Arabidopsis thaliana: one gene and its partners. The protein of the gene in region 1 interacts with the protein of each later gene in a pairwise test. Each region holds a gene or a part of one and is shown in the gene's direction. Other genes may lie near its edges.

The links.
Region 2: the proteins of ECT8 (region 1) and LARP1a interact in a two-hybrid assay, tested with the Arabidopsis thaliana proteins (one large-scale study listed by BioGRID).
Region 3: the proteins of ECT8 (region 1) and NATA1 interact in a two-hybrid assay, tested with the Arabidopsis thaliana proteins (one large-scale study listed by BioGRID).
Region 4: the proteins of ECT8 (region 1) and ABCI18 interact in a two-hybrid assay, tested with the Arabidopsis thaliana proteins (one large-scale study listed by BioGRID).

What each region holds. Positions count from the first base shown.
Region 1 is NC_003070.9:29,813,680-29,819,623, forward strand, and holds ECT8 (evolutionarily conserved C-terminal region 8), read left to right. Parts: upstream 1-1,790; 5' UTR 1,791-2,477; coding exon 2,478-2,511; exon of another isoform or gene 2,512-2,836; intron 2,837-2,927; coding exon 2,928-2,998; intron 2,999-3,110; coding exon 3,111-3,228; intron 3,229-3,318; coding exon 3,319-3,389; intron 3,390-3,482; coding exon 3,483-3,839; intron 3,840-3,926; coding exon 3,927-4,409; intron 4,410-4,491; coding exon 4,492-4,704; intron 4,705-4,797; coding exon 4,798-4,941; intron 4,942-5,036; coding exon 5,037-5,132; 3' UTR 5,133-5,425; downstream 5,426-5,944. Other genes in the region: AT1G79260 (nitrobindin heme-binding domain protein), read left to right, coding at 1-3, 92-160, 268-387; NUA (nuclear pore anchor), read right to left, coding at 5,497-5,944.
Region 2 is NC_003076.8:7,198,249-7,206,113, reverse strand, and holds LARP1a (LA RNA-binding protein), read left to right. Parts: upstream 1-2,016; 5' UTR 2,017-2,234; coding exon 2,235-2,486; intron 2,487-2,822; coding exon 2,823-3,282; intron 3,283-3,442; coding exon 3,443-3,602; intron 3,603-3,716; coding exon 3,717-3,807; intron 3,808-3,921; coding exon 3,922-3,993; intron 3,994-4,347; coding exon 4,348-4,530; intron 4,531-4,631; coding exon 4,632-4,807; intron 4,808-4,949; coding exon 4,950-5,019; intron 5,020-5,103; coding exon 5,104-5,208; intron 5,209-5,282; coding exon 5,283-5,590; intron 5,591-5,685; coding exon 5,686-5,829; intron 5,830-5,924; coding exon 5,925-5,988; intron 5,989-6,177; coding exon 6,178-6,323; intron 6,324-6,434; coding exon 6,435-6,539; intron 6,540-6,778; coding exon 6,779-6,913; coding exon of another isoform or gene 6,914-6,923; exon of another isoform or gene 6,924-7,266; coding exon 7,267-7,297; 3' UTR 7,298-7,337; downstream 7,338-7,865. Other genes in the region: AKINBETA1 (5'-AMP-activated protein kinase beta-2 subunit protein), read right to left, coding at 199-396. UniProt on the Arabidopsis thaliana protein: Required for acclimation and survival during thermal stress. Heat-specific cofactor of XRN4 required for its targeting to polysomes and subsequent rapid degradation of seedling transcriptome during the early steps of the heat stress response.
Region 3 is NC_003071.7:16,296,579-16,299,726, forward strand, and holds NATA1 (Acyl-CoA N-acyltransferases (NAT) superfamily protein), read left to right. Parts: upstream 1-1,531; 5' UTR 1,532-1,681; coding exon 1,682-2,368; 3' UTR 2,369-2,627; downstream 2,628-3,148. Other genes in the region: AT2G39040 (Peroxidase superfamily protein), read right to left, coding at 2,885-3,148. UniProt on the Arabidopsis thaliana protein: Acetyltransferase that converts ornithine to N5-acetylornithine, which is likely used in plant defense.
Region 4 is NC_003070.9:989,427-993,643, forward strand, and holds ABCI18 (non-intrinsic ABC protein 4), read left to right. Parts: upstream 1-1,679; 5' UTR 1,680-1,825; coding exon 1,826-2,320; intron 2,321-3,016; coding exon 3,017-3,265; intron 3,266-3,351; coding exon 3,352-3,426; 3' UTR 3,427-3,700; downstream 3,701-4,217. Other genes in the region: AT1G03890 (RmlC-like cupins superfamily protein), read left to right, coding at 1-124, 227-492, 623-1,033, 1,105-1,482; ABCI19 (P-loop containing nucleoside triphosphate hydrolases superfamily protein), read left to right, coding at 4,052-4,205.

The sequences.
Region 1 (5,944 bases):
CAGGTTAACATAATCCAAATTTCCATTAGATCCGTGTTTACCATAAGCTTCCAAAATCATTACTTATGTTTTGCTGAATCTCTGATCACAGAAAGGAACATACAATGTAGATGAACAATCAATCAAACTCAAAAGTGATCTTGTGGGAAACGCTTCAAAGGTTTCAGATTAATTCTCTTTGTTATTATTTATTCAATGTCTCTGTCTCTACACACAACATTTTTGTGTTTCTAATTGGTGATTTATGGGGTTTTTTTTCTCCAACAGGTGAAGGAGATAAGTAGAGAATTTGAATTGGTTGATGGAAAACTATCGTATGTGGTTCGTATGAGTACAACCACTAACCCTCTTCAACCACATCTCAAAGCAATACTCGATAAGCTTTGAATCCAAGTTCCTGTGAAATCGAAACCTGACACGACCGATGTGATATTGAGATGCTTTGATTTTGATATGTAGAATCACTCTGTTTAGTAACAACATTTGATACTCTTTGTAAGATTTTGGTTACCAAAGTGTTTTGTTATGTTTTGTTCTTGTAAGCACAAGTAAGAAGAAGATGACAATTTGAGAGTTAAATGGGCTTTTATTAAAAGAGGTAAATAGGCCCATTGGCGCCTATATACGTTCAATTTTAGCATCTGACGCCTCAATATTAATGATATTCTAATTGACTACAATAGCTTTCAATAATTACAAGATTGTCCCCATATTTATTTTCTTTTTATACTATTGCATACACATTTTAGAAATTATGAGATGAGCACCGAAGTTATTATCGAAGCAAAGTCAACAAATTGAAGTAAGATTAATTCTCTACAATTATATAAGATTTGGTTTAATAATTGTAAGATGCAATCTTATAAACTTAATTAGACATACGTAATCACATATAACAACAGAAATTTTAATACAAAAAAAAAAATAAAAGACGGAAAAGAAAACAAAAGAAAGAAAATCATATAGATGTGAAGCAGACACGTTTAGGCCACGGCAATGACAAAACGTGGCACCTTGTAATTCTCTTAAGCTCCATAATTTTGGCTTATTGTATTAAATAGTTCCATATGGTGTTTCTTATTTTTTTTTGGCCTATTTGGCTTTTTATGTGGTGTTGACAATTATAACTTGATCCCTAAGCAATATCTACTTTGGATATAATACAAATGGAGCAAAAACACAACACTTTCATTTTTGAAGAAAATTATGTAAGGTGATTGTGTGTTTATTAGTAGTCCCAATCTAATAGAGAGAAATTAAATTCTAGGAGTGATCATTTTCTAGGATAGTTAAAACTTATGGATGACTTTCATATGAGTTTAGATCTGGATTTTGGTGGGGGGACATAAGAAATATAGATGCATATGTAAGTGTACACAAATGAATGGGCCACTTGACACCTAATGATACAAATTTTCAAAGAAAACTCAGATTGCAATAATGGAAGCATATCAATAGTAGTATGAGATCTCAATCTACAATCTTCAATAACATTTAAAAAATAAAATCCAACAACAACTGTAGCGTATAGGAATTGTTCATCTCTTTTCATCAAAGAATATTTAAAATTTTGTTAGACAAGAATTAATTAATGATTTATATGGTTGAGAAAACTTTTTAAAAAGTTGTAAAACTCATCGAATAATAAATCATTTTTAATGGAAAATATAGTTTTTATTTTTATTGTGTGGTATTGCTCGGACTCAAGGATACATGGAGAGAGAGGCAGAGTCAAATCCAATTTTTCAACTATCTTATATGATATTCTTCTGTGCTTTTTATAGTTTGCCCGACCATAAGAACTGGTCCTAACTTTCATTTTTTTTGTTTCCATAGAATATGTATTCCTATGATTTTTTTTTATAGAATTAATTGTGTTAGTTAATGCCAAATTAAGATTCTCTTTTTTAAAATCACTTTTTGAAGAAGCACTTACAAGAGAGTTGTGTTAAGAATAGATTCCAGATGGAAAAGTTGGCAAGAAAAGATGTTTTAAGTTTTTGCCTTGTCGTCTAATCCAACGGTCGATCTTCGTTCATATCAAGAATCCTTATGACGTGGACCATTCTCTTCCCTCCATCTGTACCTCTTCCCAACCTCTATTTTTTAATTTACATCGAAAATAAATAAGAAGGATTGCAAAAGAAAAAATAGAAAAAAAACTCTCTGTTCTTCTTTCTTCTTCTTCTTCGTCGTAAGCCATTACCATTTCTTCTCCCTCTCTCTGTTTTTCTTTGTTGCGTATCTGTACTTAGTTTTCAAACATAAAAATAAAACATATCTTTAGCTGATGTTGTCTTCTTCTTGATAAACAGATTTTCTACAGCTTTTTTTCTTTCTAATTTAATAATTCTTGAGACTTTTTAAAACCCTCTGCGAAACAGATGATTCGAGTTTTGGTTTCTTCATCTGTGTTTTGATTTTTTCGTCTTTTATTCTTAGTCAAACACATAAATTTCTTTTACTACTCTTCGTAGATGACTTCTCATGTTCCAAAACATCCTCGTAAATGTACTCTTTCTCTCTTTCTTTCCTACACACACGTGTTTAATCTGTGTTGTTCTTACACGTCTTTTTAACTTTTGCGTTTGACCTTTTATCTGAATCCTGTGTTTGTGTGTCTGTAAATATATATATGTGTGTCTATGTGTATAGTGCTCTGTTTCTTGTGATTAGACTCATATGTCTTATTTTCAATATTAACTATAAATATATAAGTCACGCCTAGTTATTAGTTTTTATCGGTACGACTAAATATTCAGACATCAGTTCACGTTTCAAACCTGTCTCTTCACATAGTTAAGAAAATAAAGGCATCAAAAAGATTACTAGTAATGTTTGTGTCTACTTTATACATACATATGTCTTGTTTCTTTGTGTTTTTCAGAATCTGATCTCTTCGGGAACGTTTGTTTAATTTGTTTCAGCCTTTGAAGATATGGTGAAGAATCTTAAAGTGGATCCTCTTGCTAAGGTCACTGCCTCCACCACTTCCATGGTAATAAAGATTCTCTCTTCTCTGTTTATTACAGATGATTCATATGTTTTGGTTCTTAGGATGATTTATCAGTTATGTGTTTTTGTGTTCCTTTTGTTTTGCAACATTAAAGGTTTCTGCAAAAGAGAATAAGAATCAGTCAGAGGCAGAGCCATCATATTATGAAACTCTTGAGACATATCAAGGCCTGCCTTGTCCTTATGGTGGCTACTATGGATACTACTATCCAGGTTTTGCTTCTTTTTACACACTGATACTATATAATATGTACTCAATTCTGCTTTTAGATGATCATAATCTGAATTAGCGTGTTTTTACAGGTCTTGATGGTTCAGTTGGAGAAGCAAAGGATAATGGATACTATGGTTATGGAACAGAAGTTCAGTACCCGGTAATCAAAACTTCCTTGTCATGAAGAGAATGAATTACTCACTCGGGTGACTCGATCTTTTTAACTGACCATTTTCTTGATCTTGATTTTAAGGTAATGCAAGGGGAAAATGGGTCTGTGATCTACTTGATGCCAGGGTTTCAGTCTTATGATGCAAGCCAAACTTATATGCCTATAAACCCGGTTGGTGTATCGAGTCAAGCACTTCATTCGCCGATGTATGCTGCTCAGGGTTATTATCAGAACCAATTTGGTTATGCAGATGTTTCATCGCCCACATATTTATGGGACCCTGTTGGAGACAGGTATGTGTATGGTGTTGCTTCATATACCCCACCCTTGAAACAGAACATATCTTCTTCAAGTCATAACCACAACAATTATTATTCAAAGAGCAAGAACTCCTTCACGGGTCACGGCATGGGAGATCGTCCTAAAACACCGCGAAAAGTAACATTTACACTCTTTAATTCTTCTCTCTTTCACATTACCTGAAGAGGTTTGACTCATCTTTTTTTCTTTGTATTGATGCTATAGGCATCACAGAACAGCTATGCCCCACCCCCACTGCTTAACCAAGAAAAAGGTCGCATTGCTTACCCGATGGACCCAGTAAAGAAAAAGTCTGGAGCTTTAAATCGGGATGAAACAGAGAAGGCGAAAGCGAGGACAAAAGAAAATGGTACAAGTATGAATGACTTAGCAAACGGTCAAGATCATATTACCAATGGAGAATGTGAGTCATGTTCGTTGGATGCTGAAGGGAATGAAAGAAGCAACGGTGTTGGTTCTGTGATCAGAAGGGATCAATATAACCTCCCTAGCTTTCAGACCAAATACGAGGAAGCAATCTTTTTTGTGATAAAATCGTATAGCGAAGACGACATACACAAGAGCATCAAGTACAATGTCTGGTCTAGTACTCTCAATGGGAACAAGAAGTTAGACAGTGCATATCAAGAATCTCAGAAGAAGGCTGCAGACAAAAGTGGAAAGTGCCCGGTTTTCCTGTTCTTCTCGGTATGCTATTAGGATTTTTCGCTATATACGTATTCAGTTTTGCGACGTCTTCATGGTCTCTGATCGATTTTATTGGATTCAGGTGAATGCAAGTGGCCAATTCTGCGGTGTAGCTGAGATGATTGGACGAGTTGATTATGAGAAAAGCATGGAGTTCTGGCAACAAGATAAGTGGACTGGCTATTTTCCGGTGAAGTGGCACATCATCAAAGATGTTCCAAATCCGCAACTACGACATATCATACTAGAGAACAATGAGAACAAGCCTGTAACCAATAGCAGAGACACACAAGAGGTAACATTAGTTCCTTAATAGGCTTAAGGAAGTGAATCATTATCAAGAGCTAATCTCATCTCATACTGTTTAAACATTGTCCTTCATATATAGGTGAGGTTGCCTCAAGGGAATGAAGTGTTGAACATCTTTAAGAACTACGCAGCTAAGACATCTATTTTAGATGATTTTGATTTTTATGAAAACAGAGAGAAGGTTATGGTACAGAAGAAGCTAAGGTTCCCTCCGGTATTAAAGGTCCTTAGTATTCTCCTCTTTATATCTCTCAATCATGCTCTTTTTGTTCTATGTATTGTATTCTAACGAGAATGATCTTATGTCTATGATAACAGAAGAAAGAAGAAGACTTGGTTGCTGATTTTAAAACAATGGAGATGTCTAATACAGTCGAAGAGGGAAACACAGAGTTAACCGGGACAGTGAGCTAACTAGAAGAACATGTAGTGTTTTTGGTTTGGTTTTTTAAGGATCAATATAAACCGTCCGATTGTTTCGGATTGCTTTGATTTTATTACAAGCGAGATGGCTTCTTCTTCTATTGTTTCGTTGTATGGTGTAATGTTGGGTTTTTTCTTCACTTTTTTTTTTTGGTTTTGTGTTGTGTTTATGATATGTTTTGCAATTTGTAATCATTGGCAAAAATGATAGGTTTGATTTTATAGTGATATAAGAAAACCGGGATACAAAAAGAAAAGAGGTTTAGACATAAAATGAGTTTCTCTACCGTTATTAATTCTCTCTTCAAGGAGCCTCCTTGGATAAGTCTAATTGTTCAACCATACCCACTAAAAATCATGGTGGGCTCGGGGATTGTCCACGTCCACCACGTGGGGCTCGACCACCACGAGGCAACAATCGGCCTCCTCCTCGAAGGTTTACAGTTCGACCACGAGCTCCTCTGGTGGCTGGATTAGGAGCTCGACTTACTACTATATTGGCTATTCTTTCTCGTCTTTTCATCTGTGCTCTATCAGCTAGTGTCACAATAGTTGAACTTCCACCACCTGGTGACGGTGCTCTTTTTGGATCTTCTGTTTCTGGAGCTCCGCTTGAAGTAATAGCAGAAGCTAGAGTAGAGGAAGTTGTTGGAGCGGTAGAAACAGGGGAGGTTGTAGCTGCTGAGGTCTCTGGCTTGATGTCAGTTTCTGGTGCTTCTTGTTGATCATTAGCATTGTTAGGTATATCAGCGGCTTCTTCAGCTGCATCACCTCCTTCGTCGGTCTTATCATCTTCAACCGGC
Region 2 (7,865 bases), on another chromosome or scaffold:
CTATCTAAATGAAGAAAGTGTCTCACAATTAGTGAAACAAATGAAAAGTCAAGTGAACGAACATTCTCTTACTCAACGAAACAAATCAAAAAGATTCTCTTACTATTATCTCTTTGGGCGAATGTTTCAATCGATTCAATTCAAAACCAGAAATCAAATTCAACGATTAAACAGAGAGAGATATTCGAGAGAGGGAACCTGAGGAGCGAATAAGAAAGGAGATGGAGATCGAGCAGGACTTCCGGGAGGAGAACTGCTCATAGAGTCTGAAGAAGGACGACGGTGACGACTGCGTGCAGAAGGATCGCCGCCATTAGATCTCGCCGAGGACGAGGTAACATCTGCACCACCGCTACCGGCGGCGGCGTCTTCGTCTTTGCCGTTCGCATTTCCCATCTGAAAAAGCCCAAATCACAGAAGCGAGAGAGACAAAGAGAGGAGAGAGATAGAGGAAAAGAGAGAGAAAACCAGACGTGAAGAAAAATGGAGGGAGGACGACGAGGAGGAGATAATGAAACGCCCCTCAAGTTAGAAGTTAATTACGAATAATGCCATTGGTAGCGAAAAAGAGATTTTGCATAAAAGGGGCTCTTGAGAGAGAGATATCATTAAAATCCGTACCAAATGGATAAACGAGTGACTTGGCGTCCAAAAGTTTATAATTATCCACTTTTTTTTTGTTTATTTCTTTTAGTATATAATAAACAAATGTGAATAAAAAGTTGGTTCAATGCCTTTGAGAAGGATAATGACACAAGGGCCAGTCACCTCCTTGCCACCGATTTGTGTGCCTTAACATCTTGCTAGAGCCAGTGATCATAGTATGCGTATCGTGACGATGAAAAGGCCTTAAACTCCAATAGGTGGGGTTAGAATAGAGATGGTCAAAGAATCATCATTTTCCAAGATTTGTATTGGTTAGTCCCGTAAACTAGTTATTGGTCGAAAGATTGTTTCGAAAAGTTTGGAGGGTTTCAAAGCCAATGTAAACTTGTAAAAGGCGATGGTCACTATTCACTAAGCCATGAGTGATTGTCATGCACTTTCCTTATAGGTTGAGTCATTGTTTTTTCTTTTGCTTTCTCGCATTGTATATTGGTCACTTTCAAATTGTAAGATTTCAGCTTTTGCTTTATCATTTACTTTGAACTAAGGTTTTGATTCAACCTCATATTTTCTTCAAACGAGTGTACTATCATTGGAAAAACTTGATTTCAATCACTTCAATTTTCATCAATATATTGACCTTTTGTTTAGAAATCTTATCTAGTGGACACTAAATCTTCCACAGACACCTTCAAATGTCATTTTCAGAGACAAAAATTCATTCAAATCTTCATCAATTACTTTATTCTTCGTAGGTTCACATATTGAAGAATTAAGATAATAGCCTCACCCAAAAAAAAAATTAAGATAATAGTTTTCACCTCAGAAATCATCGTTAATATCCATCATATATATAAAAATTATTATATGTATATTAACAATTCAGATAATTTTTCACGTATTTTTAAAAGACTAAATATTATAATTAAATAACTTAAACGAATTAAACAATAAAACAATAAAGAGATTATAAGAGCGATAACTAGTTATCTTCGTTCTCTTTTACCAACTACTAATCCTTAGTTGTAACAAAAGTTTGTTAGATCACATTAAAAGTACAAAATAACTTAGAATTGCTACACAAATTCTAACACATCTATTTAAGGACATAAACTAAGGTTAATAAATAAACGCGTTATAAATAGGTCTAACGAAAATAAGTTTATAAAGTTAATTTAAATTTTTTTAAAACCCTACATAAATGATGTTTTCTCAAAACAAAAATTAAAAAGAAATAAATTGAATGTTTTTAATTACGAAGGATAAAGACCAGATTAGAGGATATTTGTAATACTAGTAATTAAACAAATCATGAATATTATTCTTATTTTTTGTCAAATTTCAAATAGGAAAAATAGGAAATTGCTATATAAAATAAACATATACATATAAAAAAAGAGGAAAGTAACTAGGGTTTTTGGGGTTATACGTTTCACTGTTTGTTTCATCCTCGCTTATTCCTCCCTTAAAGAGTGTCGCCACCAAAACACACACACACACTTGCCTCCTTCTTCAACCTCTCTTCCTCACATTGCGTCTTCTCCATCTGATCCTTCAATCCTCGTTCTGTTTTTGATCCAATTGAATCGCTTCCTTGTTTTGATTCTGTTTATCTTTCCAAGTTTCTAATGATGGCGGAGACTGAAGGATCAGTGGCCGATGATCGAGAATTGATCACCCGTGAAGGTGGTATTGGGACTAAGTCTCCGTGGAAAACAACGACTTCTCCTGTTGAGACTATTGACGCTCCTGTAATGGGAGCTCATTCGTGGCCTGCACTCGCCGACGCTGCCCAACAACCGCGTCCTAAGAATCCTCCGGCGCCTGCACCTGCTCCGCCGTCTAAAAACATTCCGACGTCTATCCCAATCCCTACTCCGGTTAGTCAAACAACCGACTTCTTTCCGTTGATTTGTCAATGTTGTTTGATTATGCTTTAATTGAGTATTAATTTTCCGATTGTAATGGTGCGTGGTACTTGGTAGAGCTGAGAGTTATCTGATACTGGATATCAGTTGTGTTCGTGATTGGTTTAAGTTGGTGATATTGAATCTTTGATCGAATTTGATGCATGATGATTATGACGTTTATTTATTTGTCGTGATTTTCTTTTACTTGGCTTGAAAGGTTTATAGTGTGATTGGAAAGTCTTTTGTTTAGCATTGAATTTGTAGCCTTAGCTTTGCTCATAAAAGCTCTTTTGTTTTGTTGTTTAGGCCGTAACTGGTCAAGCGAAATCTAAGGGTGGTGGAAAGGCTAATCCTGGACACAAGAATCCATCTGGCCGTCATTCAAAACCAGGTCCGAGGAGCAACCAGAATGGTCCTCCTCCTCCTCCTTATCTCGTGCATGCTGTACCGTATCATCCACCTCCTTTTCCACCTATGGTGCCTCTGCCACATGCTGCTGGTCCAGATTTTCCATATGCACCTTATCCTCCCTACCCGGTTCCTGTGCCTCCTGTTACTGAGTCTGGCAATGAGAAGCAAGTTCAAGCTTCCCCTCTTCCACCTGTGTTGCCAGCTCCTCAAGGGGATCCTGGAAAGCCTTGGCCGCATCAGAGGGGTTTTGACCCCAGAAACATGCCACAAGGTGCTGGACCAAGAAATTTCGGGAGACCTCCATTTATGGGTCCAGCTCCTGGGTTCCTGGTTGGTCCAGGTCCAGGCTTTCCTGGTAAGATATTGATTCTTTGTCAATGTGTTTAAAGGGACTGGCTGAGAGTAGTTGATAAAAATTTAATTCTGTTGCTCTTGAATATATTTAGCATTAGGATAAAGGATAACTGTCGGTTTTTGATGCATGAGTGCTGTTTTTGTTTCTTCATTTGACACAGGGCCTGTATACTACTTGCCGGGTCCACCCCCTGGAGCTATAAGAGGTCCTTATCCTCCACGCTTTGCTCCATACCCTGTAAACCAGGGTCCTCCAATACTATCTCCAGAAAAACTCGACTTAAGGGATAGAGTCTTAAAACAAGTAGAGTATTATTTCAGGCAAGTTATGCTTCTCTACATCAATTTTTTTGTGATTATAATTATGTTCAGCTTATCCTTTATTGTGGCTCTTGAAATTTCATATTACCTTCCGTTTATTTATTCCCTTTTCAGTGATGAAAACCTTGAGAATGATCATTACCTCATTTCTTTGATGGATGAAGAAGGATGGGTTCCCACAAAAATTATAGCTGGCTTCAAAAGGGTAAAATTAGTAACATGAGCTTGACTTGCTTTCTTTTTCATTAATCTATTCTGTCATCTGTGTTTTTACACAAGTGTGTTGTTTTTTAAGTTTTCTTTTACTCTTGAATTGCAGGTTAAAGCAATGACTATGGATGTTGATTTTATAGTCTATGCGTTGGGGTTTTCTAATTCTGTTGAAGTGCAGGTCAGACCACCTTCCTTCTTTTCTGGTTTAAATGCTAAACTCTTGCTTTTGTGAATGGGGTTTTACTAATTCTTGGGTTCAGATTAGCTTTTGTATTAAAAAATTGTTTCCTTGAACACTATGTTTTCTTCGGTTGTATTGTGTATTTCTATTGTGGTGAGGCTATCACCAAAAGAATGGGTTAGAACTTTGTCTCTGAATAATAGTTTAAAGAAGCCTCTTTGATTATTCTAACTTAACTTAGAGCATGCTTGGTTTCCACAGGTGTAAGGCCTACTTGTTTTTTAAAACAGTATAAAATGCTGGTACTTCTTATCTGTTGGATCCTAATTTGAAATGCTGGTACTTTTACAGGGTGACCAGATACGCAAGCGTGACAAGTGGTCTGACTGGATTCCTGCATCTAAAAAGTCAACCTCTGCGGAGACAATTGGAGACGGTGACAAAGATTCCCCAAAAAGTATAACAAGCGGGGATAATTTTGGAAACCCTTCAAAGGGTTCTTCAAAGCCTACCGTGTCCGATTTCTCTTCAGAGGTAAAAAAAAATTTCTTTTGGTAGAGAAATTCTGTAAGACTGCCAAGCCAATGAAATTTTAGTTTTTGCTCCAGTCATAGTTTTTCCGTTGTGTGGTACAGGGAGCTCAGTCATCAAGAACCAATAATTATAAAAGTGGTAACCTGAAATCATCAGCAGACGAAAAAAGAAATGTGGAGGACTTGTCAAACGATTTTTCAAACACTTTCTTGCTTGACGAGGAACTAGATCTGGAGCACAGAAGCCCGAGAAAGAGTGGACTGTCCATGTCCAAAAGGTAGTGCGTGCACCACTTAATTAGTCCTGCTATTTGCTTTCTGTCCTTTTGTTTCCAATATGCCTTCTTTTTTTTATATGAATCTTAAACTGCATATATAAAGTACTGCAGTTGATGCTTAGGTTTATTTGACATTTTGTAGCATTGAGTATGAAGACGATGATATGGCTGTTGATGATCAAGATATTCAGAAACTTGTAATTGTTACCCAGGTATTACACAGAACTTTTTATATATTTCCTTGAACTCTATGTTTGGTGAAATCAATTATTCATGTTCCGTTATATGCTGGACAGAATAGTGGTAAAAGTGATGGCGCTGGAATCGGTGGGACGGAAGCAAAAAATATTCCTAAGGAGCTTGCCTCCACAATCAACGATGGTCTTTACTACTTTGAGCAGGTAAGGAATATTTTCCTATCATAATATGATTTACCTCTTTGGAGTCCAATTTCTAATCTTTACCTATGAAACAGGAGCTTAAAAAAAAACGATCTGGCCGTAGGAAGAACAACTCCCATTTGGATACCAAAGATGGGAAAATCAAATCTGGGGAAGGATTGAACACTAAGTTGGGCGAAAATTCCGCAGCAAATGATGGAGGGGAAGAGCATGGAATCATTACTTCACGGAGGAAGCAAAATAAGGGAACGCACAAACATCATACAGCCCATGCACGGAGGTTCTTCTCGAGTAACATAAGGAACAATGGAAATATATCAGAAAGTCCGCCTAGTAGCTCCATTGGATTTTTCTTTGGTTCTACACCACCAGACAGTCATGGGTCAGTATCTTAGCAATCCTTTATATTCCCAACTTTTTCTTATTTTTTTGTTTATCACTTGTCCTTAATATTCTGTTTTTATTGTATTTTAACAGCCCTAGGCTTTCGAAATTGAGTTCATCTCCACAATGTACACTTTCTGGAAGCAGTCCACCTGTGGGCTCTTTGCCAAAATCATTTCCACCTTTTCAACATCCGAGCCACCAACTGTTGGAAGAGAATGGGTTTAAACAAGAAAAGTGAGTCTATGGTTATTGTATGGAGCATTATTTTTTGGAGGATAAGATCGTATCTTGAAGGTCTCTGTTCTTATTCCTTTTAAATCTACCTATAGGTACTTGAAGTATCGCAAGCGCTGCTTAAACGAAAGAAAGAAGCTAGGTAGCGGATGCAGTGAGGTCAGTTTCATGTTAACCTCCTTTCGATGATTTCTCATCATGTATAACAAAAGAAACCCGCAATAGCTGTTACATGCTCAACTCATCTGTTTTTACATATAAATTACTCAACTCATACTTTAATCTAGTTAGAGATCAGAAACCCTAGTTTCTGGAATTGTATCTGAATTCTGGCTGTTCTTTTTGCAGGAAATGAACCATTTGTACCGATTTTGGTCGTATTTCCTCAGAGACACATTTGTTCTCTCTATGTATGATGACTTTCAGAAGTTTGCTCTTGAGGATGCAGCTGGCAATTACGATTATGGGCTGGAGTGTCTCTTTAGGTTTTATAGGTAATGCATACGTCTTAGATTTGCTTATATGTTCCATCTTTTTCACTGCGGATAAGCTCTCAGTGTAAAAAAATCTAATCCAACTAATATTGGTCTGCCTTGCTTCTTAAGTTATGGTCTGGAGAAGCACTTTGATGAGGACCTTTACAAGGACTTTGAGAAGCTATCGCTTGACTTCTACCACAAGGGAAATCTGTATGGCTTGGAGAAATATTGGTAAGGGCTCTATTATTATGATAATGGTTAAACAATATTGTTGCTACTGAATTCCTGTTATGGAACTGTGATTTTCGTTAATGTCTCTAGAGAACTTACATAAAAAAAAAGGGCTTGTAGTAATAATCTAGGTTAAAAGATGTTCACATAGCCTCAATGCTCTCCTTTTGATAATAGAAAAAGTTTGTTTGTTTGGTTGGTTGTGTTGAATAGGACCTAATCATCTCTCTCTTGTGTAGGGCATTCCACCATTATCGAGGCAAAGAAGAACCGATAACAAAGCACCCTGAGCTAGAGAAACTACTGAAGGAAGAATTCCGTAGCATAGACGATTTCCGAGCAAAGGAAACAATCACCAACCAAAAAGAAAACAAGTCTCACTGATGAGGATGTGAAGTGAAGAAGAAGCAGAGATATGTGTTGATGCCGCAGAGCAAATGATCCTTAAATCTTGACCTAAAGTTTTGTGTATCTCTTTCTTCTGGGGGAAGTGACCAACCAAGTGAAGCAATCACTCTGAATTTTAAAGGATAATTTCCTTGGTGGTATTTTTCTTTTGTGGGATTATTTTTGTGGATTTTGGATGGATGCAGGATGATCTCTGCAATACAAACAAGAGCTTTGACTGAAGAGGCGTTCATCTACACAAGAGTTTCGCCCTCTCCCTAAAAGTTGTAATCTTTTTCTTTTTTGTATATATTTCATTTTCTAATTTACTCAATTTTAGAAGAAAAAAAAACAAAAAAAAAATGATGTGATTTGTAGTATCTGTAGAAACAATAAGAGATGTTTTATTTGACAATTTTATATAGATAGTACATTTTCTTGTTTGTAAATTTTTGTCTTCTTGCATCTTATATATTTGGCCTACGCAGAATATTTTTTCAAAGAGTTCTTATTTACACAAATATTCCTGATTCTTTCTTTTAGATATTGATAACTCTGATGATTGCCGACAAAAAAAAAAAAGTCTGATGATTACCATGAATTTGCTTAACACTCACGAAAAGAGCGAAATTTGGGTTTTACGGTTTTACCAATATTCCTGAAGGGTTACTTAACTAACACACCCTGAAGGTTATAAGTACCTAAAGTTGCAAATTTTCTGGGCAAAATGTTTTCTTTTAAACCTAGCAGATGTTGTAGTTCATCGATATGTTCCAAATCTAACTATATGATGCAAATCACACTGCCTATATGTAATTCAGCCACAACATCAGATCGACGTTAAAAAAAGAAGAGAACTCAATGCCTTAAAATACCAAATCTGATTAAGCATAATAAAGTATCAACCAACAGCGCCCACAAAAACCGACAGAATATAAA
Region 3 (3,148 bases), on another chromosome or scaffold:
GTAGTCTCTGACTCTCTGTCTTGTTGTATAGAGAATTAAGAAACCGTGAGCATGAAACAAAAATTCATCTATTTTTATTACTACAACAAAACATTCCGCTTTTGTGTTAACATAGAGAACAAAAGACCCCATTTTACGAAAATGATTCTACTCTTATAAATGGGCTTAAGTGGGTTGTAAAATTTGTAGAAGAATGCACAAACACTTCAACATCTCTAGTTGTCCTACTGGCTTTAAAGAACATCTCTTTGATTGAGATTAATTCACTTGCAATTTATCGGTAAAACTTTAAAACTGAACCAAAAGTAAAAAAGAGTGAGACTAGTTTTTTGTTTGTTAAACATGAAACTGGACATAAAACTGGACAGATACATTCTACTAATATCATGCATTCCGTTAAGTATTTTGAACAAAAAATCTCATCTTTGGAAGAGTATATTATGAAAAATATTTGGATTTACACTCAAAATCATATTCATTTATTAACAATTAAAACTATAAAAAGACATAAGCTAAAGAATTAAAGTAGTAAAAAATTGATAGTTTTATTTCCTTTCCTTTATTATCAACAACATTGAAGTTATCGTCGTGATTACAGAATCCAAAATTGGAAAGAAATGGCAGGATACATATTTGATTTTTGTTGTCGACAAATTTGGACTAAGAGACGTAACAAATCTTGCCAGCTACATGTAGAACGCACCTGTTAATACTGTAAACAATGTCGGCTAACTATTTTGTGCTAACGACAATAAATATCAAAGTAGTACGTGTAGCGTCTAGCTTCTTCTATGAGATAAAACGACGATGGGAGTGTCATTATTTTTCACTCATTTCTTGTATTTTTCTTTGGAACCAAAATGTCTTTTTCCATGATTTAACGACATGTGCTTCACGTTTCTTCATATGTCTTTTTACCGACTTCAACAAATGGTGATGGTATTTATCGAAATTCATCAATTTCTTCCTAAATTAAATTGGTAAAAATACCAATTGTCGAACTCACTCACGAAGATTGGACTGTAAACGGTATAGATGACCGTATTTGCTTCGTGGTATGGTCGTGCGTTGTCTCAAATCGCAAAAGAGCCAAATTATGTTTAAAAAATTCAATGCCATATTAGAAACCTTAATCTTCTCTAATGAATTTGTACGACGTAATATAGAATGAGAGGTTCAAATTATTAAGAAGGAAGTTTAAAAGACTTAGAACCGTTTGCAAAGTTTTGGGAGAGATGATCGGTGACCTATACAATGAGATAATAGAGATTGAGGGATTGAAAATTGAGGGACGCAACCATTACACTGATACGTTGAGTTGATATGGTGATAATTGTTTTTATGTTCAAAAACTTACATAAGTAGATAATGTGGAGTCTCTTTGATTTCTTAACCTGAACGAAAAACCAAAAAGGAGAAGAGAGTGATCACCTAATTTAACGTGTAAAACATGACATTTTCCAAGAAGAGGGATCGATCTAAAAGTCAAAAAAAGGATGAGATAGCGTTTTAGTTTATCATATGTGGCATAGTTAGATTGGCTTGTAAAATAATTTCTAATCCTAAACATGATAGATAGCAGCCTTAGAAGCAAGTAACATCAAATTTTTATAGTATATATATATGGATTCTCGAAACCCTAATCTTCACATCACTATCTTCAAAAACAAGTAACAGAAAAATGGCGCCTCCAACCGCAGCACCAGAGCCAAACACTGTGCCAGAGACTTCACCGACCGGCCACCGTATGTTTTCCCGGATCCGCCTCGCTACGCCGACCGATGTCCCTTTCATTCACAAGCTAATCCACCAGATGGCGGTTTTTGAGCGCCTCACGCATCTCTTTGTCGCCACCGAGTCTGGTCTTGCCTCCACGCTCTTCAACTCCCGTCCGTTCCAAGCCGTCACCGTCTTCCTCTTGGAAATCTCCCCTTCCCCATTTCCCACCACTCATGACGCTTCGTCCCCTGATTTCACCCCCTTTCTTGAGACGCATAAGGTTGATCTCCCTATCGAGGATCCGGACAGAGAAAAGTTCTTGCCGGATAAGCTCAACGACGTGGTGGTGGCTGGATTCGTTCTGTTCTTCCCGAACTACCCAAGTTTTCTAGCGAAACAGGGTTTCTACATCGAGGATATCTTCATGAGAGAACCTTACAGACGAAAAGGCTTCGGAAAACTGCTACTGACCGCTGTGGCAAAGCAAGCAGTGAAGTTGGGTGTCGGAAGAGTGGAGTGGATTGTGATCGATTGGAATGTGAATGCTATCAACTTCTATGAGCAGATGGGTGCGCAGGTTTTTAAGGAATGGAGACTTTGTAGGCTCACTGGCGATGCACTTCAAGCTATTGACAAGCTAAACATCTAGCAGCATGATGATTTGCATGAGACCCATCGAGCGATCGGTCCTTTAAAGTTTGTTTCTCACTTGTTTTTAATTTGTTGAATAAAACATCTCAAGTTTAAGATAAAGATGTATTTGTGATTATGGTTACAAAAGTATCTTCTGTGTTTTCGGATTTGAATAAAATGGAGATTTCTTCAAACTATTTATAAGCCATGTTTAAAAGAAGTTTTCAAGGTGTATTTAATGTGAATAAATAAAATTTTTAAATTATTGACCTCAATTTATATAGAGACTGCACTGTTTTTTTTTTAACCGGACAGCGTTCTACTTACACATGCTAAAGTACGGGCCTTGTCAAAAAGACATAGAAGTGGTAATTAAACAGATAAATTGGAAACATACAATTCCACTTAAATATATATATGGATCATTAAAATCTTAGTATTGTAATAAAATTAAGAAAAACATATCTCAAATGATGATTACATGATAATCAAATTTATACGGTATTAAGATAAAAAAAAAAGTGAAAATTTATCAGTTGACGAGGCGACAATTTTTACGAATCTCACCACCTTGATCTCCAAGAGTAAGGACTTTGATGGAACTCATCTTTATCATGGACCGACCAAACTGAGCAAGAAAAGCGCCGGAGTTTTGGAAAACACTAGCAATGTGAGCGGCGGAGGGATCAGTCAACAAGGCGGCGTCGGAGGTGAAGAGTCCTTTGTTCTTGAGTAGAGAGACGAAGTAGCCACTGTCAAAGGCGAGAGGACCAGTAGGGTCCATTCCGACCACTGC
Region 4 (4,217 bases), about 29 Mb from region 1:
TGGGACCACATGAGCCCTGAGCTCCGATGCGCCGGTGTAACGGTGGCTCGCATCACCCTTCAGCCCAATTCCATTTTCTTGCCCGCTTTCTTTAGCCCACCTGCCCTTGCTTACGTTGTCCAAGGTAAGAAAATAAATAAATACGCTTTTTGATCAAGACCTAATTAAAAACTCGCAACCTATAGAAAATCTAAAAAAAGTGGTCTTTTATTTTAATTGTTTTCAGGAGAAGGAGTTATGGGGACGATTGCTTCTGGTTGTCCTGAGACTTTTGCAGAAGTTGAAGGATCATCAGGAAGAGGAGGAGGAGGAGACCCGGGTCGACGTTTTGAGGACATGCACCAGAAGTTGGAGAATTTCCGGCGAGGGGATGTGTTTGCTTCGCTTGCCGGAGTTTCACAGTGGTGGTACAACCGCGGTGATTCCGATGCCGTCATTGTCATTGTTCTTGATGTCACCAACAGAGAAAACCAGCTTGACCAAGTCCCTAGGGTAATCATCAAATTCAAGAAAGTCCAAATTTGTACTGCATGCAAACTATATGACTACCACTCAGTGATTAAAATAGTGATTCATATATATAACACATAATGTCATTTTTTTGTGAACCCTTCATATGTAGATGTTCCAACTAGCCGGGAGCAGAACGCAAGAAGAAGAACAACCATTAACGTGGCCATCAGGCAACAACGCTTTCAGCGGTTTCGACCCAAACATAATCGCGGAAGCATTCAAAATCAACATCGAGACAGCTAAGCAACTACAAAACCAGAAGGACAACAGAGGAAACATAATCCGAGCAAATGGTCCTCTCCATTTCGTCATCCCACCGCCTCGTGAATGGCAGCAAGATGGCATTGCTAATGGCATCGAAGAGACTTATTGCACGGCTAAGATTCATGAGAATATCGATGATCCAGAACGGTCTGACCATTTTAGCACACGAGCCGGAAGAATCAGCACTCTTAACAGCCTTAATCTCCCTGTTCTACGTCTAGTCAGACTTAACGCCCTTAGAGGTTATCTCTACAGCGTAAGTATCCCACTTTTAAATTAGATTTACAAATTCTTTATGTGCTATATAATGAATTCTCGTGGAGATAGGGAGGAATGGTGTTGCCACAATGGACGGCAAACGCGCACACGGTGCTATACGTCACAGGAGGTCAAGCCAAGATACAAGTGGTGGACGACAATGGTCAGTCGGTGTTCAATGAGCAAGTGGGACAAGGCCAAATCATTGTGATTCCACAAGGCTTTGCAGTTTCAAAAACGGCTGGTGAAACGGGTTTCGAGTGGATATCATTCAAGACAAACGATAACGCTTACATTAACACACTGAGCGGCCAAACATCGTACTTGAGAGCAGTTCCAGTGGATGTGATCAAAGCGTCATATGGAGTGAACGAGGAAGAAGCCAAGAGGATCAAGTTTAGTCAGCAAGAGACCATGTTGTCTATGACACCAAGCTCTTCTTCTTAAGCTCTTTAATTGCTTCCTTTAATGTTTTTTTAGATTTTCCAGTCACTGAAATAAATAAAGATGAGACTAATAACCAACTTTTCACAAAGCTTCAATAACAAAATTTCAGATTAAAAATTCCTACTAACATACACATCTTAGCTTTTATGATTACGTTGATTTTATTTTGTTAAATTTGATTACGTTGATTAGTGTATATATTAAATTAAAATCATTGAAAGGATAATGATAACACTAATAAAAAAAAGAAGAAGAAGGTTACGGTCTCGTAAAGCTTTCAAAAGTCCGCAACGATCACACACGTCTTTCTCCGAAACTCGTCTGAGAGAGGCTCTGAGATTCGATGTCGTTCGAGGAAGAAGAAGAGGAGGAAACATTCGAGCATACACTTCTCGTGGTGCGTGAGGTCTCCGTTTACAAGATCCCGCCGCGAACCACATCCGGCGGATACAAGTGCGGCGAATGGCTTCAATCCGATAAGATCTGGTCTGGTAGACTCCGCGTCGTATCGTGCAAGGATCGATGCGAGATCCGCCTCGAGGATTCGAATTCCGGTGATCTTTTCGCAGCTTGTTTTGTGGATCCTGGACGTAGAGAGAACTCTGTAGAGCCGTCTCTCGATTCGTCTAGGTATTTCGTTCTCAGGATCGATGACGGGAGAGGGAAGTATGCGTTTATCGGGCTAGGATTCGCTGAGAGGAACGAAGCGTTTGATTTCAATGTTGCGTTATCGGATCATGAAAAGTACGTTAGGAGGGAGAAAGAGAAGGAGACAGGGGAAACGAGTGAGAGCGATAATCATATTGATATCCATCCTGCCGTTAATCACAGATTGAAGGTAAACTGATCTGTTCATAAGCTAGCTTTTGGAATTAAGATAGGATCAATGCGGAATCTGATAATTTGGAGAAATCTGATTGAAGCTTTCAGATCTATTTTGGAAAAACAACTATCGAATCCAATGTGGAATTGATTGATTCAGATACGTTTTGTAGTATCATTCTCATTGCAAAGTTCTTATCTTGCTAGTAGGCTATAGCTAAAAGTTGCTTGGTCTTGGTGTTTGTATCAGTGATGAGAATATTTTGGATGCATTATCTGCTGAGATTGATTAGCTATTCGTTATTTGGATTTTCTAATTTCCTTTATTTGTAGTGTTATTTGGTGGAAGATCTTTGTAGTTTGTATGCTCTGTGTAGATATTAGGATGAGTAAATAGTACCAGCCTTAATTTTTCTCGATCTTGTGTTGTGTTCATCATCTCTAATCTTAAATTGATGCTGCTATATGTCTTGATTTTGCTCTTTTAGTCTTCACAGATGGTTCATAATCACAAGTTTTGTTTTAGCATCCACTCGTAGTTGCAGAACATACTCATTTGATTTTGTTTACTCAATATCTTTCTCTGGGAACCGTAACTGTAGAATCAATATTTCAATTCTGATTGAACTCCATCATTTATCCGGAAAAGGAAAATTCTTGGCATTTGGACTTGGTAGAACCTGAAAAGATTGTTGTTTTGATGGGTTTTAAGGAAGGTGAAACCATAAGAATCAACGTGAAGCCGAAACCAACAACAAATGGCACTGGGATGCTCTCAGCTGCTCTTTCAGGAACGGGGAAGCCAAAACCTCTAGCACTTGCCCCACCCCCCAAAGCTGCCGGAGTAACCAGGTCTCCTTTACCTCCTCCTCCAAACGATCCCGTCGCTTCAAGGATTGCATCTGATGGCTGCAAGGAATCACGCAGGAACGAGCCTCTATCTGATCTATCTCAGCTCAAGGTAAATAAACCTTGTCTTCTTAATTACATTTATTCTTATTCTCTAAGGTTACTCTAAATTATCCTTGATTTGGTAATACTCGGCAGAAAAATCTTCCTTCAACGGCGGGATCAGGATCGAGCAAGTCAACAGGAGCTGCATCAGGTTGGGCAGCTTTCTGATGAATGGAGTGTAAAATTTAAGTTATTGGACAAGTCCGGCTTCATCTTCTTGTGACTTGAGAGCACGAGACAATAGACAACAATGGTGGTCAGCCAACAGTCTTTTTGATGTATGTTAATGGTAAGTTGATGTGTGTTTCTTTGTAATCCTCCCACACTCCCTGTTTTAATTATTTTTCTTCCTTATAATCATCGTTGTTACATTATCGATTATCATTTGTATCACTGAGATATTAATATATACAAAAAGGCTTTTTCATAATTTCAACTTTTGCTTCTACGTAAAACTAAAATGCTAAATCTGTTTGCTATTGCATGACTAAGCAAATAAATGTACAAGAAAATATTACAAAAAAAAAAAAAAAAACATTTTGTACTCCCTTATACGCTGTCGTTTGGTTGACGATGCGTGATGACCAGCACACTGACGTGGCGACGTGCAAAGAGATACAATCGTTATATCACTGACGTGGCGAAAAGGTACTGGTATGACGTGGATTTAGCGTTGAACGAAACATATTTAAAGGACTGCATATTTGACCAAAGTAAACAATGTCGGTCCACCAACTAATCGTTACCTACTCCTTGTATCTGACCGCTTGAGAGCTTTTGGAGACTGGCAAAAATGGCGGAGAAAGATGCGACGGCGAGTGGCGATGACGCCATTAGAGTTAGCGGTATGCAATTCGCATACGAAGTTGAGGATCCAATATTCTTCGACTTCAACCTCGATCTTCCAGCTGGTTCTCGCTGTCTTCTGGTTGGTGCCAATGGATCTGGTACGATGATCG